4 linked regions of the Arabidopsis thaliana genome follow. The protein of the gene in region 4 interacts with the protein of the main gene of each other region in a biochemical or structural test. Each region holds a gene or a part of one and is shown on either strand. Other genes may lie near its edges.

The links.
Region 1: the proteins of CAM1 (region 4) and AT5G62570 form a complex in vitro, tested with the Arabidopsis thaliana proteins (one study listed by BioGRID).
Region 2: the proteins of CAM1 (region 4) and NTL9 form a complex in vitro, tested with the Arabidopsis thaliana proteins (one study listed by BioGRID).
Region 3: the proteins of CAM1 (region 4) and GAD are reported together in a solved structure, tested with the Arabidopsis thaliana proteins (one study listed by BioGRID).

The regions. Positions count from the first base shown.
Region 1 is NC_003076.8:25,112,054-25,117,818, forward strand, and holds AT5G62570 (Calmodulin binding protein-like protein), read left to right. Parts: upstream 1-1,894; 5' UTR 1,895-1,911; coding exon of another isoform or gene 1,912-2,001; 5' UTR 2,002-2,016; coding exon of another isoform or gene 2,017-2,157; 5' UTR 2,158-2,308; coding exon 2,309-2,391; exon of another isoform or gene 2,392-2,880; coding exon of another isoform or gene 2,881-2,918; coding exon 2,919-2,997; intron 2,998-3,087; coding exon 3,088-3,140; intron 3,141-3,224; coding exon 3,225-3,709; intron 3,710-3,839; coding exon 3,840-4,000; coding exon of another isoform or gene 4,001-4,039; exon of another isoform or gene 4,040-4,084; intron 4,085-4,164; coding exon 4,165-4,371; coding exon of another isoform or gene 4,372-4,437; exon of another isoform or gene 4,438-4,452; coding exon 4,453-4,914; 3' UTR 4,915-5,261; downstream 5,262-5,765. Other genes in the region: AT5G62573 (uncharacterized protein), read right to left, coding at 1,912-2,001, 2,017-2,157; SDH7 (succinate dehydrogenase subunit), read left to right, coding at 5,489-5,548, 5,634-5,702. UniProt on the Arabidopsis thaliana protein: Transcription activator that binds DNA in a sequence-specific manner, likely 5'-GAAATTTTGG-3', to promote the expression of target genes.
Region 2 is NC_003075.7:16,887,905-16,892,827, reverse strand, and holds NTL9 (NAC transcription factor-like 9), read left to right. Parts: upstream 1-2,026; 5' UTR 2,027-2,083; coding exon 2,084-2,249; intron 2,250-2,367; coding exon 2,368-2,876; intron 2,877-2,952; coding exon 2,953-3,300; intron 3,301-3,452; coding exon 3,453-3,728; intron 3,729-3,822; coding exon 3,823-3,942; intron 3,943-4,108; coding exon 4,109-4,294; 3' UTR 4,295-4,423; downstream 4,424-4,923. Other genes in the region: HMGB5 (high mobility group B5), read left to right, coding at 4,644-4,690, 4,773-4,859. UniProt on the Arabidopsis thaliana protein: Transcriptional activator activated by proteolytic cleavage through regulated intramembrane proteolysis (RIP). Calmodulin-regulated transcriptional repressor. Binds several synthetic promoters with randomly selected binding sites.
Region 3 is NC_003076.8:5,709,146-5,715,610, reverse strand, and holds GAD (glutamate decarboxylase), read right to left. Parts: upstream 4,702-6,465; 5' UTR 4,471-4,701; coding exon 4,385-4,470; intron 4,302-4,384; coding exon 4,097-4,301; intron 2,774-4,096; coding exon 2,573-2,773; intron 2,495-2,572; coding exon 2,280-2,494; intron 2,192-2,279; coding exon 1,938-2,191; intron 1,540-1,937; coding exon 1,487-1,539; intron 1,404-1,486; coding exon 1,228-1,403; intron 1,091-1,227; coding exon 772-1,090; 3' UTR 536-771; downstream 1-535. UniProt on the Arabidopsis thaliana protein: Catalyzes the conversion of glutamate to 4-aminobutanoate (GABA). The calmodulin-binding is calcium-dependent and it is proposed to directly or indirectly form a calcium regulated control of GABA biosynthesis.
Region 4 is NC_003076.8:15,003,984-15,008,105, reverse strand, and holds CAM1 (calmodulin 1), read left to right. Parts: upstream 1-1,900; 5' UTR 1,901-1,988; coding exon 1,989-2,064; exon of another isoform or gene 2,065-2,176; coding exon of another isoform or gene 2,177-2,221; intron 2,222-2,681; coding exon 2,682-2,759; intron 2,760-2,963; coding exon 2,964-3,337; 3' UTR 3,338-3,579; downstream 3,580-4,122. UniProt on the Arabidopsis thaliana protein: Calmodulin mediates the control of a large number of enzymes, ion channels and other proteins by Ca(2+). Among the enzymes to be stimulated by the calmodulin-Ca(2+) complex are a number of protein kinases and phosphatases.

The sequences.
Region 1 (5,765 bases), about 10 Mb from region 4:
TAATTAATTTTGAGTGGAATATGATATGTGATAAAAAAAAATTTCACTTGATGAGTAAAGCGAAATGTCAATCGGTTGTAAAGAGATGTATTTTCAGCTTGATGTGATTTATTAGTTGAATTGACTTATTGCAAATTAGAGAGATGCGTGGATGAAAACGAGCGTGTGATGGAGAGAATTAAGAAGTCAGACAGTTCGTGTGAAGATGTCAGAGGACAAAACTCTGAATTATTCTACTACAAAAACATTCCGTGTGATACTATGAGATCCAATAACTAAATTTTAAGTAACCAATCCTGTTTTATTGTCAAATTAAATGCAGGCAAGAGGCAGGCAAAATACTAAAAAAGAAGATTTTGTATGTTTTTTCTAGATATTGTAAATATTTGAATTGATCATAGATTCATAGGTCTCACATAACTGAGCACTTCTTCATATTCTTGCCCAGCCCAAGTATTGGTCTCATGGGCTATAAATTTTTGATGATTTTGGGAATATAAATTTCTAGAATTCTTTCATCTTTATAAGTAGTAGTATTGTTCATATGATTGTGGATTTTCGATTAATAAACAGCCAAAATTCAATTTGTACAATTAATGAATAGCCAAATATCAGCTTGAAACTTCTTTAAGACAAAACTGCTTAAGCGAAGATTGGTTATATATAGTTTATAACATCGTACGTAGATCAACGATCACGTATTCACATATATTTCCCAAGTGCAACACTGTATACTGATTCAGAGAATCTCTTTGAAGTTTGTTTTTGAATAATGATTTACGTGTTTGTGAAAACTCAACTATTTTAAAATGTTTAGTGGAGAGAGGGTTAGTGTGTACGATTTAAATATAAAAGAACTTGAGACAAACTCATTTTCTTTTACCCATTCTTCAAATCACGCGTTTATGTGTATGATTTGTGTTGGTACTGGAAAACGAGTATGTCAGCATCTTTGTTTAAGATGTGTATAATTAATTGGTGTAGAAGAAGCGTTTGTGTATATGTCACATAATTATTAAATCGCATTTTGCAGACGCTTTCAATATGATTTATCAGTAGATAAAGCTTAAAAACCGAGTTCTATGTGTGGTTAAAACAAAAATAGTAGTCAAAACTGAAAAACATATCATATCTGTTAGTTGGCACAGAATAATTATCACATCAAACATCGAAATGTTTTTTTTCGTTTGTCGACCCAATTGGAAGAACAATATCATAAGACAAGACCGTATGGCTGGGGCATAAGTTATTGTTATCCACAAGGTTCTTTTGTGACCAAGCTACTTGATTCATATCCATGTGACAAGAAGAACAAGGGTGAATTATGGATGATTGCTGTTTCCGCATGCTTGATGATTTCGTCAAACAGCCCTAATAATAGGTAAGAGTTAAAAAATTTTTGTTTTTATTTAAAATTCGAATGAATAAAAACCAAAATTCTTTAAGGATAAAATGAAAATAGCTTTAAGAAAATAAAAAACCCTTATTTTTATTTTTATTTTTAAAAACCCTCTTCTATGTATTTAATTGTTTAAGTACGTTTTCTGCTAACTCAAGATAAATAAATATTATTCTTAATTGTATAATTTTGTTTCATGATGTTGTGGATTCAATCAGTTGGTTTTATTTATAAACAAGAGAACTAGTAGTGAAGTGATGATTTCTTTAAGACAAGATTGAACATCTATGGCTTGTTAGATGAAACTAGTTGATCTTTAGTCCCTTATCCGCTATTATCCAACACCCTATACCCATAATGCTCAGACCAAGCAATGCTTCTCAGTTCTCAGTATTCGGAAGCTATGTTCTAAACTTTGAAATTTGATAAATGTACTTGAAAAAAGATTTAGGTACGGTCTAAACTTGTCTCTGTTTTAGTAGTTAGAAGAAGAAGCACACACAACATATAAATTAGGGGTTCCTCGTCACTAACGCGGTTTCGGTGGGTCCCACAACACCCAACACTGAGAAAGAAACACCATTCTTCTCCGTGTTCTGTCTCTATCTGCTAATTACCACAAAGAAGAACTTGCAAATCCCTTCTCTTTTGTTCAAGTCGTACGACAGAGCCTTTGAAAGAAAGAACTGGTGGGGAAGCGTTAAGCTACAGATAACTCCAAGATACGGGTCTTTGTTTGTTTTGAAGATCAGATTCATTTTACGATAATTCCGTTACTCGTTATTGTGTATATATATCTCTTTCCCGGAAATTTCGGTTCTTGTTGTACAAAAACTCCAAAAAAACGCATAAAAAATATTCTGTAAATGGTTGAAATTCTCTGGGAATTTCAACGGGTCTTGTGGTATCATGTCACAGAAGAGAGAGTTTGAAGAAGGGAAAGGTCGAATTGAGGGCGGCTCATCCGAAGACAAGCGTAGAAGATTCAAAAGGTATAAATTTTGTTTCAGCTTCTAGGGTTTACGATGTTGTTGTAGCTTGAATCAGTCTTCGATAGTTCGATTCATTCAATTGGGTTTATGTATTAGCTAATAAGGATGAATTCGAGTCTAAAAGTTGTGATCTATATGTTGGAACAAGTATAAATAGTGAAGTGATCGTTTCGTTAGGATAAAATTGAGCTTCTATGATTAGGTTTTGACACGATTTTCTATAGCTTGCGGAGTTCTTTAGATGATCACTGTCTTGTCGTGGAATTAATAAAAAGGTTTAGTTTTGTTTATAATCAAAGAGTGATACTTCTTGGGAAGATAAAATTCTATTGACACACAAAAGTACTCATACTAGATAGTATGACACCACGTAGTCACCATGGTTGGATTCCTTAATAAGAAGCTTTATTTGTTTTTCCCAGTCACTTACTGTTGACAAATCAACAATGTTTATGAAGTTCAGATTTTCTAAATTGATTTTTAGTGTTAATGAGAATTCCTACATATGACTTTGGATCAAAATTTAGTGTGGTTCAGGAGGTAATGAGATTACAAACCGTCAAACATTTTCTCGAACCTGTTCTCGAGCCCTTAATTCGTAAAGTGGTACGTATCTCGTTGATATAATATAGTACCCTTCTCTCCTAGTATTGTGTGTTTATTTTAGCAGTAATTTATGAGTATCCCTTGGAACAGGTCAAAGAAGAAGTTGAATTAGCTCTTGGAAAGCATCTAGCAGGCATCAAGTGGTAAAACTATTTTTCAAGATCAACATTAGATTTTTCAGGCTGTTCTGTAATAAATAATTTCTTCCCATGTTCATCTTTGTTCAGGATTTGTGAGAAAGAGACTCATCCTTTGGAATCAAGGAATCTACAGTTAAAGTTCTTGAACAATCTATCGCTTCCCGTGTTTACTTCAGCTCGGATAGAAGGAGATGAAGGCCAAGCTATAAGAGTTGGATTAATAGACCCTTCAACTGGCCAAATTTTCTCTTCTGGTCCTGCATCATCCGCCAAACTCGAAGTTTTTGTCGTTGAGGGTGATTTTAACAGTGTTAGTGATTGGACTGATGAGGATATCAGGAATAACATTGTAAGAGAGAGAGAAGGAAAGAAACCTCTACTCAATGGGAATGTATTTGCGGTTCTTAATGATGGCATTGGTGTTATGGATGAAATCTCATTTACAGATAACTCTAGCTGGACTAGGAGCAGGAAGTTCAGACTCGGGGTACGAATAGTGGATCAGTTTGATTATGTCAAAATTAGAGAGGCAATAACAGAGTCCTTTGTCGTAAGAGATCATCGAGGAGAGTGTAAGTATTGCTTGTTAGTTTATTCTCTCACATTGAGTATCATTGAACCAATTTACTTTCCTGTTCTCATATTTTCTGTAAATTAAAAGAAGTTGTTTCTTTCTTATGACTCTTTCTCTCTTATTTGTAGTGTACAAAAAGCATCATCCTCCTTCTCTTTTCGATGAAGTATGGAGATTGGAAAAGATAGGGAAAGATGGAGCATTTCACAGACGACTGAATTTGTCAAATATAAACACTGTCAAGGATTTCTTAACACATTTCCATTTAAACTCTTCAAAACTCCGACAAGTAAGATTCGTCTTCCTTACTCTGTGCCTATGTGACTAAGGCTTCTGTGGTGGGCGTGAATCTTTTGTGTCACCAGTAATAATGGTTTGTGATTGATTCTCACCTGGTGAGAAATACACAGTTTTAACTTGTCTACATGTAATGATGATTGATGTTCCTTGCAGGTTCTTGGTACGGGTATGTCTTCAAAGATGTGGGAAATTACTTTGGACCATGCTCGATCATGTGTTCTAGATAGTAGCGTCCATGTGTACCAAGCTCCTGGATTTCAGAAGAAAACAGCTGTTGTCTTCAACGTCGTAGCTCAAGTGCTTGGACTGCTCGTGGATTTTCAGTATATTCCTGCTGAAAAGTTATCAGAGATTGAAAAGGCACTGATCCTCTCTGTCTACATATTTGACTTGGTTTCTCTTCTACATACTCTCAGGTTTACATAAATTTTCTGATTTCAGGCTCAAGCGGAGGTGATGGTAATTGATGCATTGAGTCACCTAAATGAAGTAATCTCGTATGATGATGAGGTTTCCATGATGAGGAACGTTCTCAATGCCCCGGCTTCTCAAGGCAGTGTTGCCGGGATTGATTATTCGGGTCTGAGTTTGACCAGTTTGGACGGATACGGTTTTGTGTCAAGTCTTCACAACACAGCAGAATGTAGTGGCAAGCACAGTGATGATGTTGACATGGAAGTTACTCCACATGGTTTATATGAAGACTACGACAATCTCTGGAACTGCTCTCACATTCTAGGCTTAGAAGAACCGCAATCTGAGTTGCAGAGTGCGCTTGACGATTTCATGTCACAGAAGAATGCTTCGGTCGGTGGTAAGGCTCACAGCAAAAGATGGACAAAGCTTTTCAGTGTCTCGAGATGGCTCTCTGTTTTCAAGTATGTCAAGTTAGGAAAAATATAAAATGAGTTTAGTACACAAAAGAACAAAACGACTCGCTGCGCCGCGCCCTGGACAGATTCGTGTATATATATACTCGGGGAAAGCTTGGGTTTCTGATGATCCAGAGGCGTTCAAAAGTGTTTTCTTTCTTCTTCTTCTTCTGGTTGTCTCCATCTTTGTGTTAAAGATGTGAATATATGTTTTAGGACAGCTTCATTTTTGTTGAAAGCTTAAAAAACAGGGTCTTTTATAATCTCTGTGATTAGTACCAAATTGCAGATTTGCAGAACTACGTTTTTCTTGGTTTGTCAGGTAATGTGAAACTGAATAAAATGAATATTATTTGAATCAACTGAGATTTTACATTATCTTCTAGAGTTTTGTGTTTGAGATTCAAAGAACACTAGACTGAGTATGAAGATTTTGGGTGAGTAAAAACAATCAGGGTGATAATTTATCATACAATAGTTTTGGGGTCAAAATGGAATAATTCTAGAGTATAGAGCCCATGTTGAAAAGCTCGAAAATTCTTTCCAATTCCAGAAGAAAAGGTTTTGCTGTTTCCCTGTGAGCGATCTTCGATACTCGTCTGGGCATGGCGTTTTTGCTCAACAACGCTTCAATTTCATCTCATTTACGCTCGTCTTCTTCACAGGTTTGGATCAAATCTTGTTAATCGATTATTGTTGGAATTTTGTTTGATTTTTGTGACAATTTTTTCCCTTACGAAATTTTTGAAGAAGACGGGTGATGCTTTATCAATATCGCGTCGTGGATTCCACATTGAGCCAGGAACTCGAGAGAAAGCTGTAAGTTAATCTCTGTTTCTGTTCGAGTCCTGGATCATTTTGGACTCAGTTTTTGTGGAATTT
Region 2 (4,923 bases), on a different chromosome or scaffold from region 4:
AGTGGGAAGCGGGTTGCACCGAACCAAGCCCATGTAGCTAAACACTCACACGCGCGACGCATGTCTGAAAAGTGGTAATTGAATTTTGTTTAGAATGATTCTACAGAGGTTGAATTTGGTAAATGAATCAGAGGAATATTAAGCATTTGAGCATAATTTCCAATTTGGTCAGATTATGATATATGTAAATATGTCCATGATTCATTTTCTGTTTTTGGGTTCTCTTTGTTCATTTATTAAGTCATGGGCTGAAGTTTTCATATTTTAAGTCATGGGCTGAGTTCTCAAGGACTAAAACTGGTATTGATATTATGATCTGTTAAAAGCCAATTCATTTAAGGTGTTCAAAATCTAAACTGAATAATTGCGTTAAATTAAGCCGGACATGTTTCAATCAAAAGTCAATAGAATGTGTCAAAATACTCTGGGTACTTGGGTAGTATTAGTAACATTAACTTACAAGGATTTTTCTCTATATAAAAATACAGAGTACTAGTTTTGATTTTATCTGAGTGAGAACTTTCTAATAAAACTCTAATCGAAAACAATTAATATTTTGTATAAAATGGAGTGTAGAACCTAAATATTTTGTATTGCTTGGATATATAGTTTTTTTTCTTCTTAACATGGATATATAAGTTCTATTTCGTACATATTTCCCCTAATTTTAATGTTGAATTTTGGAAAACTTTTGTTGGATAGTGACATGAAGACCCTAATTTTAATCATAACATTTTGGAAAACTTGATTGGGTGAGTGATATGGAGGTGATGTTAACGTATGTTTGGTATCAATAGTTGGTCCAATTAGGCCCAAAGAGTCAAAAAAGGTGCCCAAGTGTTGTCAAAAGAGAAAACAATTAAGAATAGGGCAAAGCTTGGCCAGCAAGATTTAGTGGTCATTTCCTAGAAACGTGTCCAAGAATTTATAAAGATGGGTTGTCTTATAAATACATATCGTTCACGTAATTACCTGAGATCAAATCTTAATCATATCATTCATCGTATATAGACTCCAAACACGTTTTTCAAACTCCTATGATCATGTGTTCTCTCTTTGCCTCCGTCTTTGATTGCTTTGTTCCAAAATCAGACTCAAAGATTAGCTCAACTGATGAGAGTGACTTGAAAGTCCTGTCCTCAAAGAAACCAAAAAGCAAATCCCCGAGAGCTCCGATTATGGTGTCTTACTTTCCCGCCGGTTCAAACCTTTCGCGTCTATAAGTGCCAAATAGAAGAGAAGAGAAGATGAAGTATTGGGATGTTGATTTTGATATAAACGAAAGAAGTTTTTGGTTGTAGACATGTTGTATGCGCAGGCTTTAATTTTATGTTTTATTTAATTATGTACAAATAGACCATTTAGATTGATAGCATCATATATATGCTTTGTATTTAAGACCAAATAAAAGATTAATGTTTATATACATGCGTAAAAATGTTAAGAGCTTAGTTAGTATCATTTTCAAAAACTGATTGTCACTTGAGCTTTTATTTTTCTTATTTTTTTAATTAAGAAAAGTTGTGGCCCTCAAAAAGTTACATGGAATCGGAACAGGAAAAAAAAAATGTCGAAAACTGATTAATCTAGGCAACGTTATCGCATTTTCATATCTTACAAATCCCTTTTTCAATTCAGATTTGGTAGAAATGCAAGGAGAGTTCCATAGTGTATATGTAAAATTTGTATAAAACGTCTAGAAGAATTACAATGCTGAATTTGTTGGAAGCTCTGTTTTTCTCTGCTTAGACGTTTCCAACGTGTTTTGGGTTTCTCTGATCACTGTAAAGCCTAAACCACAAGAGAAGAAAAACCACGAAGCTTTGGGCTTTAAGGCCTTTTTGGGCCCTAGCCACAATAATGGAAGCCTATCAAGAAAAGACAAGACAAGACAATAAGACAGAAGAGGACAAGTGTTTAAAGTGGAAGTTATCTTTCTCACGTGGTCTAAAGAAAGGTTAAAAAAAAAGAGGGAAAAAAAAAAGAAGATGAGAGAAAGCAAAGTGTTGAAGACTTTTTAGAAAGCAGAAAAAAAAGCAGAGAGTGTATTCAAAGTCGGAAAGAAACCCTAAAGAAGAGGATTATGGGTGCTGTATCGATGGAGTCGCTTCCTTTAGGTTTCAGATTCAGACCTACCGATGAAGAGCTCGTCAATCACTACCTCCGTCTCAAGATCAACGGACGTCACTCCGATGTCCGTGTCATCCCTGATATCGATGTCTGCAAATGGGAACCTTGGGATCTTCCTGGTTCGTCTCTTTATTCTCTCAAAATTTGATTCCTTTTATTCTCAGATTCTGTTTTCCCTCTCAAAGATTCCACCTTTTTTTTCTTTACTCAATTGGAAACAAATCTGATTGTCGGCAGCTCTCTCGGTGATTAAGACGGATGATCCAGAGTGGTTCTTTTTCTGCCCTCGTGATCGGAAATACCCTAATGGTCATCGCTCTAACAGAGCAACTGACTCTGGCTATTGGAAAGCTACTGGTAAAGATCGTAGCATCAAGTCTAAGAAGACTTTAATCGGTATGAAGAAGACTCTTGTCTTCTATCGTGGACGAGCTCCTAAAGGTGAGCGGACTAATTGGATTATGCACGAGTATCGTCCCACTCTTAAGGATCTTGATGGCACTTCCCCTGGCCAAAGCCCTTACGTTCTTTGTCGCCTCTTCCACAAGCCTGATGATCGGGTTAATGGTGTCAAGTCCGATGAAGCAGCTTTTACGGCCAGCAACAAATACTCACCTGATGATACATCATCTGATCTTGTTCAAGAAACACCTTCCTCTGATGCTGCTGTTGAGAAACCATCAGATTATTCAGGTGGATGCGGTTATGCTCATAGTAATAGTACCGCAGATGGGACAATGATTGAGGTATGAATGGAAACTCTTGAATAATTAATTAGGCTTTTTTGAGTGACTTGACTAATTTTGAGTTTTGTGTTCATAGGCACCTGAAGAGAATCTTTGGTTATCTTGTGACCTTGAAGATCAAAAGGCACCACTACCGTGTATGGATTCTATATATGCTGGTGATTTCAGTTACGATGAGATTGGATTCCAATTTCAAGATGGTACCAGCGAACCAGATGTATCACTAACAGAATTGTTGGAGGAGGTGTTCAATAACCCTGATGACTTCTCTTGCGAGGAATCGATCAGTCGAGAGAATCCAGCAGTCTCACCAAATGGGATATTTTCATCTGCTAAAATGCTGCAGTCTGCAGCACCAGAGGATGCTTTCTTCAACGACTTCATGGCTTTCACTGATACAGATGCTGAGATGGCGCAATTGCAGGTGAGCACAAAGATACATATTTTGAGGCCTATACAATTTTAGAAGTATCCAAATTATTTTGCTTTAAGTAGGCTAGAAACCTCTAGATCAGTTATCTTTACAATCACTCTTGACATAAGTAAAATGACAATTTTTATCTTTTGTTTGATCAGTATGGTTCAGAAGGTGGAGCTTCTGGTTGGCCAAGTGACACTAATTCATACTATAGTGATTTGGTTCAGCAAGAGCAAATGATCAATCATAACACAGAGAACAACCTCACAGAAGGGAGAGGGATAAAGATCCGGGCTCGACAGCCTCAGAACCGGCAGAGTACAGGATTGATAAACCAGGGTATTGCTCCAAGGAGAATCCGTCTGCAGCTGCAGTCTAACTCTGAAGTAAAAGAACGAGAGGAGGTGAATGAAGGACACACTGTTATTCCCGAGGTACGAGACTAGTGATTCCAAAAGTTGTGTCTTAGACATCAATAACATAAAGGATGCATCTTTTTAATTTGTTGTTAATGGTGGGGATGTGCAGGCCAAAGAAGCTGCAGCTAAATACTCAGAGAAGAGTGGTTCTTTGGTTAAACCTCAAATAAAGCTCAGGGCGCGGGGAACTATAGGCCAAGTAAAAGGAGAGAGATTTGCAGACGACGAGGTAAGAATGAGTGAACTTGTTTACACATGAATGAAGAAAGAGTATAGTAGTAAGCTCTACTAAATACTATAGAATTAGAAAGAAAAAAAAGAGAAAGCAATCAGTAGAGCATGTGAGATCAGCTAGTAATGATAAAAGAAACTGAGAAGTATCTTTGTCTAAAGAGAAGTTTGTTGTGGTTACAGGTACAGGTGCAGAGCAGAAAGAGACGAGGAGGGAAGCGATGGAAGGTGGTTGCAACGGTAATGGTGGCTGTGATGGTTGGGGTAGGGATGGGTATATGGAGGACACTGGTGAGTTCATGACACATGAGACACAAAGAGAGAGAGAGAGAGAATCAAATGTAGTTTAATGTAATTAGGGATGATGCAATGTTAGCATGTTTGTGTGTTGTAACTTAAAAACTTATTTAGGAATCTGATAAAAGTTACTGTTGAATTTACACGGATGGTCAAGATTAAATGTACCAACATCTTAATTATCTACGGTCAAGATTAAAAATACCAACATCTTAAATTAACACCGCATCAAAGAATTATCTCAATCGTCGTCTCTCCCCAATTCAAAAAAAGAAATAACCTAAACGTGTTCACACAGAGGTAAGCTCGCTCCTACTCGCCGCCTCATCTGAGTCAACTCCGAGTCAGCTATTTTTCCCCACCGGATTCTCACTTTTGTTCCTCTCTGTGACAGATCTCGAGATGAAAGATAACCAAACGGAAGTTGAATCGAGGAGCACTGATGATAGGTATCTTTATATTTATCCGTAATCTCGATTCTTAGATTCAATTTGTTTCCGTAGTTTTGAAATCGTCTTTTATGATTCTCAGATTGAAAGTTAGAGGGAACAAAGTTGGAAAGAAAACAAAGGATCCAAACAGGCCTAAGAAACCACCAAGTCCTTTCTTCGTCTTCCTGTAAATAAAAATCACTAATCTCTCTTCTTCTTTTTTCTTCACTAATTTGATTACAGTAATTAAT
Region 3 (6,465 bases), 9.3 Mb from region 4:
CTTCTAGAGTTTTAAGTTTTTCTTTCTTAATAAAGATATCAGTGCTTTTTATTTATTAAATTTTGTGCATTGTTATTTGTTATCATGCTTACATTTACGCAATTTGGTACAGATCTCATACCACATAAGAAAAAGAAAAGAAAACTTAGAATAAAATTAAAATTAGTTTGTTATATTTTAAAAAATTTACATTTTAGAATACATGTCTATCTATTTACAAGATGGCTATAGCTTTAGAGCAAATACGTTCCCAACCTACCTTGCCAGAGACGAGTGATATCGTGATCTCGATTTATGCGACCTTTACACGTTTGAGTTTACAATCCTAACAACATATTTATATGCAAAACAAACCTTACTAGTTAATCTTGCAAAATTATTTTCATTTTTTAATAATGAACTAATCCAAAATTTGGGATCATTCAGTAATCATTTCAACAACTATTACGTTAAACAACATTGCGCTATCCAAGGAGGTTCTACTAGATCTCTTAATCCTATGTATAATGGATGATGCACAAGGAACAAAAAAAAAAAAACAGATAAACGTATTTAAAAATACGGCAATAATAATAATATCAAAAGATATTACAAATCAAAGTCAAATGAAACTTGGTTCAGTAATAAAGGGAAATGAAACTTACTTCAGCAATAAAGGGAAATGAAACTTGGTTCAGCGATAAAGGGGAATGAAACATTCAAATATCCAAATCAATGCAATTATGCATTATTAATAAAAGTCTTCAAACATTTGAAGTAAATATATTTCGATTAGCAGATACCACTCGTCTTCTTCCTGTCGGCGACAAACTTCTTCCAGCCAGTGATGATATCTCTCTGCTTGTCGATATCGCTCTTCTTCACCGTGACCATCAAGTTATCGCTGTTAGATTCACTCTTCTCTTGTCCAAGTGATATTTTGTGAATCACTCTCGAAGGAAGCTCATCGAGCTCACGCATCACTTTCTCTATATCGATCACAAGTCTCTCAGCGAGTGTTCTCGAGAAATCTTCTCTGATAACCACACGAAGAACAGTGATGTGTTGTGCATTTGGAGGCATTGTGTAGGCCGGCACTATCCATCCATACCTACATATCAAATATTTATAGAGTAATTAATTACATATACATAGTCATTAAATATCTACTTATTTTATGAATCTTTAACCAAAGTTTAAATAAGAAAAGAGTATTTGAAATCTTTTTAGTTAAGACAACTAACTAACCTGCGAAGCATGTCGGAGATTTCGAACTCAGTGTGACAGCTGCTATCTTTCAAGGAGAAAGCGACAAGTGGCACTCCCTCGTCCTTTGAGACGATGTTGAACCTTTCTGTCTTCTCAAGTCCTTCCCTTAGGACGATCATATTCTCTCTGCAATTCTCCATCACATTTCTGTAACCCTGTTTGATACATTTTTATTGTTAAAGTAATGTCTAATTAATTAGCTTGATTAATAAATTTATATAATCGTGGACTGACTTACCTCGTGGCCCAATCGGATAAGTTGGTAGTATTGAGCAATGACTTGACTTGAACCTGCGTTTATTGACAGAAGACTTTTTGAATACGACAACGTTTAATTATGTTTTCCCCAATTTTAATATGGAAACAAATTTGACCTCCCATCCCTTTGATTTTATAATTTACTACCGATTTCTTAAACTAAAGTCAAACAAATTGGAAAAAACAAAAAGTGGAAATAATTTACGTGAAGTTTCCCACAATTGCTTAATCTAATCATAGTGATTGATCAATTACTACACTACTACGAATTAAAAAACGGTGTCGTTTCCGTATTTTAAAATGGAAAGCAATTTGATCTCCATCACTTTGATGGTTAGACTACTTTAGATCATGACTAATAATGAAAAGTCGAACACAAAAGATTAAGACAAGCTACAAAGAAAAATAATAATTAAAAAAATATTAGTTACCTTTGGAGAAATTGAGAGTAAAGGTGGGTTGGTCAGCACCAAGATAATTGATATGGAAGATGAGTTCCTCAGGCAAATCCTCTTTGTTTCTCCAGATCACCCAACCAATCCCTGCGTACACAAGTCCATACTTGTGACCACTCACATTGATACTCTTCACCAAGGGAAGTCTAAAGTCCCATTCCAATTCCGGATACAAAAACGGTGCAATGAATCCTCCACTTGCCGCATCCACGTGGATTGGTGTATCCCATCTATCAAAAACATGCATAGTTGTTTTAATTAACTTAAATATTCTTTATCGTATAGTGTAATCATGTAGACAATCCATTAAGTAATTACCCGGTTTCTTTGTTCTTTTCGACCAAGAGATCGTTCAAGAGTTTAACATCTTCGAATTCTCCATTAAGAGTGGAACCAAGAATGGCCGCAACACAAATGGTGTTCTCATCAACCATATCAACAGCTTGTTGAGGGTCCATCACATAGTATCCTTCACTCAATTTCACTTCCTTAAGTTCAACCTCAAAGTACCTAGCGAATTTCTCCCAACACACCTAAACATTTGAATCGTTATAAGAAAATTGATCAAAAAGATTATGTTTAGTAAGCATCTTTTATTTAGAAAACGTTACTTGAACATTGGCTCCGGTGACAATGTTGGGTTTATCGACGGGTTTGCCTTCAGCTTTGCGCTTGTTCTGCCATTTACGCTTGAAGGCCAAACCGGCCAACATTATGGCCTCCGATGATCCAACGGTTCCTACTCCGACGGCGGTCTCCGCCTCTTCTAACGGTGCATTGAATAGATGTGCAATCATGTTCACACATCGGTTCTGTTTTTTAATATTAAAACAAAAAGAATAAATTAGTGAAACCCACTTGACTAATCATTTTCTGACATCGAGATTGATGCTTAATACAATATTCTTAGTGGACAATAAACAATGTGACAGATGTGAAAGCAAAACTAAGATTAATGCACACACTAAGTCGTGGAGATAAGTCCTATTGTCATAAGACTCATAAACAATACTATTCTATAATCCAACATGGTATCATGTTTTAGCTTTTGATGTAAATAATTACGATCAGATACTAGTTGGCAAAAAAAAAAAATATGCTAGAAAATTAGGTCATTTTTTAAGTTTTTAATTTGAAACACGAGAAATCTAATAATTTCAAACCATAACCGATATTTCATATTGTCTTCCTTTTATTTCCGTTATGGCCCAATAAAAATATATCATTAGTTAAAAGTATCTAGCTATCAATTCGCATATTAGTACTGTAGGACCAATTATTAAGATTAAAGGAAGTCCTCACAAAATAACTCAACTACAATGGATGGTATTTGCGGAAATAAGGTAGTACAAATATTCCCCCTAATTACTATAGCATAGTCCATATTATCCTAAATTTGATCAACACAGTCACACACCATTGAAAAAGTCAACATAGTAGGTGTCCATTTAAATACGCATGGAAATCAGATTCCATGATAAAGCATCTTATTAATGAATGATTCAAACTAATAACAGTATCAAATATTTTTAAGAAACTAAGTTTTTTTTTTTTGTTAATAAGAACCTTTTTTTTTGTGCAAATTATTGACAACCTTAAGACTTTAAAAAGACCCTCATAAGTCACCGGCTAGTATTTCCGAGATCCAACCTCCCCCAAAAACAAACTGTACTACGTAAACGGAAATAAAGTAGTATTAAATTATACCCTCTAATACTATATTATTCAAAATCACCCAAAGTCGATTACCCGATCAACACAACCATACAAGAAAATCAACAACGTTGGCATACATATATATATATATATATATATATATATATATATATATATATATATATATATACTTATACACATAGAAAAAGATTAAAAGAAAAGTTTTCTTTTTGAATAACAAAGCATCTTAATTATGAATCATACTGATTAATAATGGTCTATAATCTCGATCCAGAATATGAATGGCCGGGTCATTCAAACATTTGAGTTTATCATAACTCGACCACATTCTATCACAAAGTCGTTTGGAAAAAAACAATCTAAAGATTCTATAAACATTTTTCTCCATACATAAGCCGATATATATAGTTATGATTAAATCTCGTTTTCAAAAAGTCATGACTTAGAACTATATATACCTGAAGTTCGGTGGTGACGGGGTACTCGTCCATGTCAACATAGTTCTTGTTGATGGAGGACATGATGAGTTTATCACACTCAGGCTCCATCCATGTCGTCACAAAGGAGGCTAAGTTCAACCGTGGATTCCCGTCAAGCATCAGCTCGTCGTTGATGATCTGATACGCCGCTTCCTTAGGAATCGAGTTTTCCGGCATCTTGAACCTGATATCTACGTTTTTAGCCCTCCATTTTTATCGAAAATATAGAAGTATAATGTGATCAAGATTGTGTTATATTTTTTGTACCTAGGAAGTGAAGTACGGACGTAACGTGATGCGAATGTGGAGTGGACGGAGACGTCCGACTCCGATACGGCGTGGGAGAGCACCATCACGGAGATGAGAGAGAGAGAATACCAGGAGATGATGATAAGAGAGAGAAAGTGAGATCGAGGAAAGTGATGTATGGGAATGGAGGATGATGAGAGACACCTTTATATGGGTTTTATATCAATAATCAATGATATTGAATGGTTTGCTTGGGGAATAATATAAAAGAATTTTCGGAAACTTCCTTTTTGTGAATATTTCTTCCCAAGCCCTAAACTTTGTTTGAATTAGAGAATAATGCCTCTAGTTTCGTTTTCAGTTTTAGACTTTGACCCAATATCTTTTTGAGAAGTGTTATTTCCAAGTTTTTTTTTTTTTTTTTTTTTTGGCAAACTTCCAAGTTTAGTTTATGTTTCAAACTCTGTATTAGATTCATAAAGGGTCATGAATCGTATGACAGCACATTGAAAACACGGTTTCTTTTTCTTCTTCTTGTTTTTGATATTCAACGATTTCTAAAAAAAGACTACACGGTGAAAGTATTCAATGGTAAGTAAAATAATGAATGGGATCCGAGGAAAAAAGAAGCTTTACATGAAATTTATATGCATTGAATTGAATATTGACTATGTGATGTGAATAAAAAAGACTTCTCAGAATTTTTTCTTACCTAAAATTTCTTATAAGGCCAAATGTTTGTTTAAATTAGCGGAATATCTAGTTTTTTCTTCATACATTAGACCAAATGTTTTTAATTTGTTAATTTACACCAAATGTTTGCAAATTTTTTCAATGTTAGAAGTCATAATGTATAGGGAAGGTGGCTATTGTAGTCATAATGTAGTATGCGAATTTGTTTATCATATATTTTCGTAATTTACTACATCTTGCGTAGTGCAGAGTTGATGTTTGTAATAATATATTTTACTGACCTATTATATCCAACTAAGAACTAACTGCAATTGTTATTATGTATAGTCTCTATTATTGAGTCCTAATGCATCACATAATTTTCTAATTTTTCATCTTTAATTTTTTAAAAATCAAAGACTATATCGACATAATTAAAAAGTGCACTATTTTATATTCCATGATCTAAAAGCTTATAAACATGTATTCATATTGTAAATCGTGTGATGAAATGTATATTTATGTAGACATTAAAAAATATAGACATTTGAAATGAAGTTATATAAGATGTTAACTGTGACAAAAAAAAAGGTGAAGTTAAGATTAATCTAGTGTTAGAAGAAATCAAAATCATTTGAATGTGTTCTTTTTTTCTATTATATACTGGTCTACCTATATATGATGGCTAGCTATGACAAAAGAATTAATAAAATATGAATTTTAAAATAGTATGACATATATTCCATGTGCACCTAATCATACAAGAAAGAAAACATTATGATACTAAGAAAATTAAAATAAATATACTTAACATGTGACACAACTCAATATCAGAAGAATGATTTAGCATCGTTAATTTGAATATGTACAATAACTAGAACATAAATAGAATTCGTAGACACAACTTCATATTAAATTTTCTATTTTTTCCAAGATGTTAACAAAGTTACATATTATTCTATTTTATCATTTTTAATATACTTTATCTTGTAAAAATTGAAAACCTTTAAATAATTTTGTTATTTGTTATGACTACGTTTTGGAAACTTTTATTTTATTTTGATTTGTTATGACTATGTGGTTATATTCAATGAGTTATAATATATTATACTCCACAGTTTTGCTCAAATATCATAACATTAACAAATCAGGGTATCCTTTGGTTTATCTTTGACTTTTAGGTTTGTAAATGATAAATGACAAATGATATATAAAAAAGCCAAAGTTTTGTTTCATTTGCTTCTCTTTATTTGTTTATATATTTGTTTTCGAAATATTACATATAAAACATGATATCACATACAAACTCACATCATAGCTTGGTAATATCACATAAGCAAAAGGTAAAGGATTTCAAATTCTTCATATTTAATAGTTCATTAGCTTCCATCTCAATAAAATTAATTTGATTTCATATTCTGCTATTT
Region 4 (4,122 bases):
TTAAAAATTGCAATCGCTCAAGTCCTAATTGTTATTGTTGTTGAATTTGTGTTTCCTAAACCTATCAGGACTATGACTAGTATTTTCATTATATATAGACAGAACAAACTAAACCTTCTAAACATTCTATCACTTCAAATTAAATCGATCGACCATTAGTTCAACATATAGAGATGATATCAATGAATCGTCTATCGATTCTCCTTTTTGTTTTCGCCTTTGGTCTTACCATGATGAGTAACACAGCCTTATCGTACAAACATTCCGTGTGGATCAGAAACTTTCTTCATGAAAAAAACGATCTCATAATCCATTGCAAATCCACGAACCATGATATGGTATACCATAGGTTGCATCCAACAGGATCGTACCATCTGCTAGTTGATGATGATTCCGACTATTTTTGGTGTCATTTATGGCAAGGACCTAATTTCAAGCATCACCAAGTTTTTGGTGTTAACCATGGAGACGTATGGGAAGCTAGGGAAGACGGAATCTACTTCTCGCAGATAAAATATGCTCGAGATCTCCGTCAGCATGTGTTCATGTATGGGTGGAATGTTCCTTTGACCTTGTCAAGAGCTTCCTCGTTGGGATTGTGTTGTGTCTCTTTAAGCTTATTACTCTCTTCCTTGGTTTTGTTTTATTTTTATCTAGTTTTAGTTTTGAAATTTATTTTTTTTATTATGAATTTTAAAAATTTAATTTTTATTTGTGTTGGAATTTTTTTATTTTCTTTGTAACCTATATGAACTTGGATATTTTTTTTCTTTCTTACATTAATTAAGTACGTAAGTTTCGACAATCAAGAATAGGGTTTTGTTGATTCCAATCGTGTTACCCAAAAATTAGAATAAGGTTTGTCCAACAATTTATTAAATTTGGTCTTAGAGTTGTATACGAGCCTACGAGGTATCTTTTAGATATGCCGAAGAGATGGTAGTGCGAAGAAGAAAAGAAACCTCATTTTCCATGGTATTAAGGATTTCAAGCTATTCAAACTTTTGTAGTGACCCAAATACGTGTAGAACTGGCCCAAAGACAAATAGCTTAATTAAGATTATCACCTAATCTTAGGTATTGGTGATAGGTGATTCGCTCAAGCCTTATGATCAATATTAGCTCCATATTATGGAGAGTGAGCAGCACATACTCGTAGATAGAAAAGTATTGTTGCTCGAGTAATATTTTTCTGATGATAATTGTGTTTCGACCACTGTTGGCATCTTTCACACATGAATACATGATGTACATGTACGACATGCAATCTTTCTCTTAACGCTCGACTGCTGTCTGCTGTGATGGATCATCACAAGTAAACTTTGTGAAGCATATTTCGTGAGCCAAATGATGTTAGAAAACAATCGTGTGAGCCAAAGGCGTGAGAGCGCTTGTAGAAAGTGGTTTATGTTGTAGTTAAAATAATCCGAATATTCATCTTCCGGAAAAAAGTGAAGTTCAACCTCTCAACGGTACGTTTTTATACCTCAACTAAGTTACATTGTGTATATCAACATCAGCTAACTTTTTATTAATATTTCGGTTCACAATATCATTATCTTTTTCAAAATTTATTAAGATTTCTTTTGCTCATTTTATTTATGTGAATTTTAAAAATAAAATAATTTTTATAATATAGAAACAAAATATTACTAAAAGTAATTTTTAAAAAATAAATAAAATTAATGTCATATCAACGAAAAATTCATAGTTTATTAAAGTAGTAAATATAAAAGTAATAATATTTTAATTATTTTGGTATTAAATTATACACTTTTATTAATATATGTATTTTCTTCTAAAAATTAAAAATTAATTGGGTTTTTGTTTGGAATTTTTCCGACTTACCTTTTCTCCTTCTTTTTGTCGTTTTGCTTAGATATTTGTTTGCATCATTTTCAAAGAGAGACGACTCTGAATCCAAAAAAAAAAAAAACTCATTAAGTAAAGACAAAGGAAGAGAAGAAAGACGATTTCTCGAAGAAGCTATGGCGGATCAACTCACTGACGAACAGATCTCCGAATTCAAGGAAGCTTTTAGCCTCTTCGACAAAGATGGCGATGGTTAGATTACCTCTTCTTTTACGCCTTTGATGGTTACATTACTGGATCTCGGTTTTTTTTCCATTTTCGTCTTCTATCGATGATTTAGAACGGTGTATCTCGTCCTCCCGAGCTTTGAATATGTGTTTATTAGTCGCTAATCTCTTTAGATTCGGAGGTATTGACCTTGTCGTTTGATCTGTTTTTGATCTTTGACCGAGTAGTTTCGCTTTTTGATCTTCGATGGCTTTTTGTATATGATTGAATCGATTTAATAGCTTGCTTGTTGTCCTGTTTCGTTGATTTGCTAGCTTGGATCTGATTTATTTTTTCGTCTCTTACGTTTTGTTTGATTTTTCATCTTCCATGATTGTTTTGGTCGTATGTGTTTTCGAGTTTGCTCTTAGTTGATAAAGAATCTGCTATCTTTTTTTCTTCGAAGTTGTTAATTATCTGAGTTTTTTTTTGTGTTCTCAACAATTCTACCAAAGAATGGGAAAAAACTATGTGCTTAAATGTGATTTCGAATCTTTTAGAAGCTTTGATGGTTCTTCTTGATCTCTCTAGGTAGGTTTCAAGGTCATGTTGCTCAGATTTTCTCTTGATTTCTGAGTTGTTTGTTATACTAGTTGATGTAGTGTTTGTTCTCTCTGATCTAGGATTTGATTTCAAAAGATTATCAAATTGTTTGGAAACTACTCCTGAATTGTCTCATGGTTATATCCTGCTTATAGTAGCTCAATTTGTGTAGATTTGTTTGTTCACTCTTTAAGAGATAAGCAAAAGATGTTCATTCGCTTTTGCATCTATCATTGCTTTTACCCATGACAAAACTGCTTTATCATTGCTTCCATTGAGCATTTGAGTATAATATGTGATGGGTTCTAAAATGTAATGCTCTCTTAATTGTGGTTACACAGGTTGCATCACAACAAAAGAGCTGGGAACAGTTATGCGTTCACTAGGACAAAACCCAACAGAGGCTGAGCTCCAAGACATGATCAACGAGGTTGATGCAGATGGAAACGGCACTATCGACTTCCCCGAGTTCCTGAACCTGATGGCTAAGAAGATGAAAGACACTGACTCCGAGGAAGAGCTAAAAGAAGCCTTCAGGGTTTTCGACAAAGACCAGAACGGTTTCATCTCCGCTGCTGAGCTACGCCATGTGATGACCAATCTTGGTGAGAAGCTAACTGATGAAGAAGTGGAAGAGATGATCCGTGAGGCTGATGTTGATGGAGATGGTCAGATTAACTATGAAGAGTTTGTCAAGATTATGATGGCTAAGTGATTTGATAAAGGTGATGATGATGATGATGATGACCTTTTTATGCTTCTAGGAGTTTAACCAAAAACATTTGCATGATTGGTGGAGATATGCTTTTAAACAGACATAATTTGTTTTTCGTTCTTTTGATTTTCTGGTTTGTGACTTTTGTGTGTAATGGAAAATCAAGTAAGTTGGATTGAAACCGATGGGTTGGGTTTTTACTTTTTACCCACATTTTGTTGCTTTTTTGGTTTTACAAAAAAAGAAGAAGATAAGAAATAGAGATGAAAAATATGGCTTTAAGCTGAAAAAATTAAGTACTAGTTAAAATTATAGTTATATTAAAATGTTCTCTTTCTGATTTACTGTTTTAATCATTTGAGCCACTCGTCTGAACTGTACGTCTCTATACGTGTGTACGTTAGCCACAAAGAAAATGATTCGCGGGCAATCACTTCCAAATTTGTGTCTAATCAAACTTTTAATTTTCATACGACAAACAGAGGTCGCTGAAAATTTAGTTTTAAGTATAAAGTGCTTTTCTTTTGTCAATTAGTTTTAGTATAAAGTGCTTTAGTGTATTATTTATTTGGATACCAAGTTGAAAATTGATGTTGGACTAATAGGAAAATGACACATGTAAAAACACGAGGTTGGTATTATGCCATTGGCCACCATAAATTGTCGTGAAGTAGTAAATTTCAAGACAAGTTTTAAATTAAGATTTTGAACAATACATTCATATTTTTAGTAACTTGTTATTTATACTTAGACTATATAATTAAGTATTCGATCTATTTAAATTT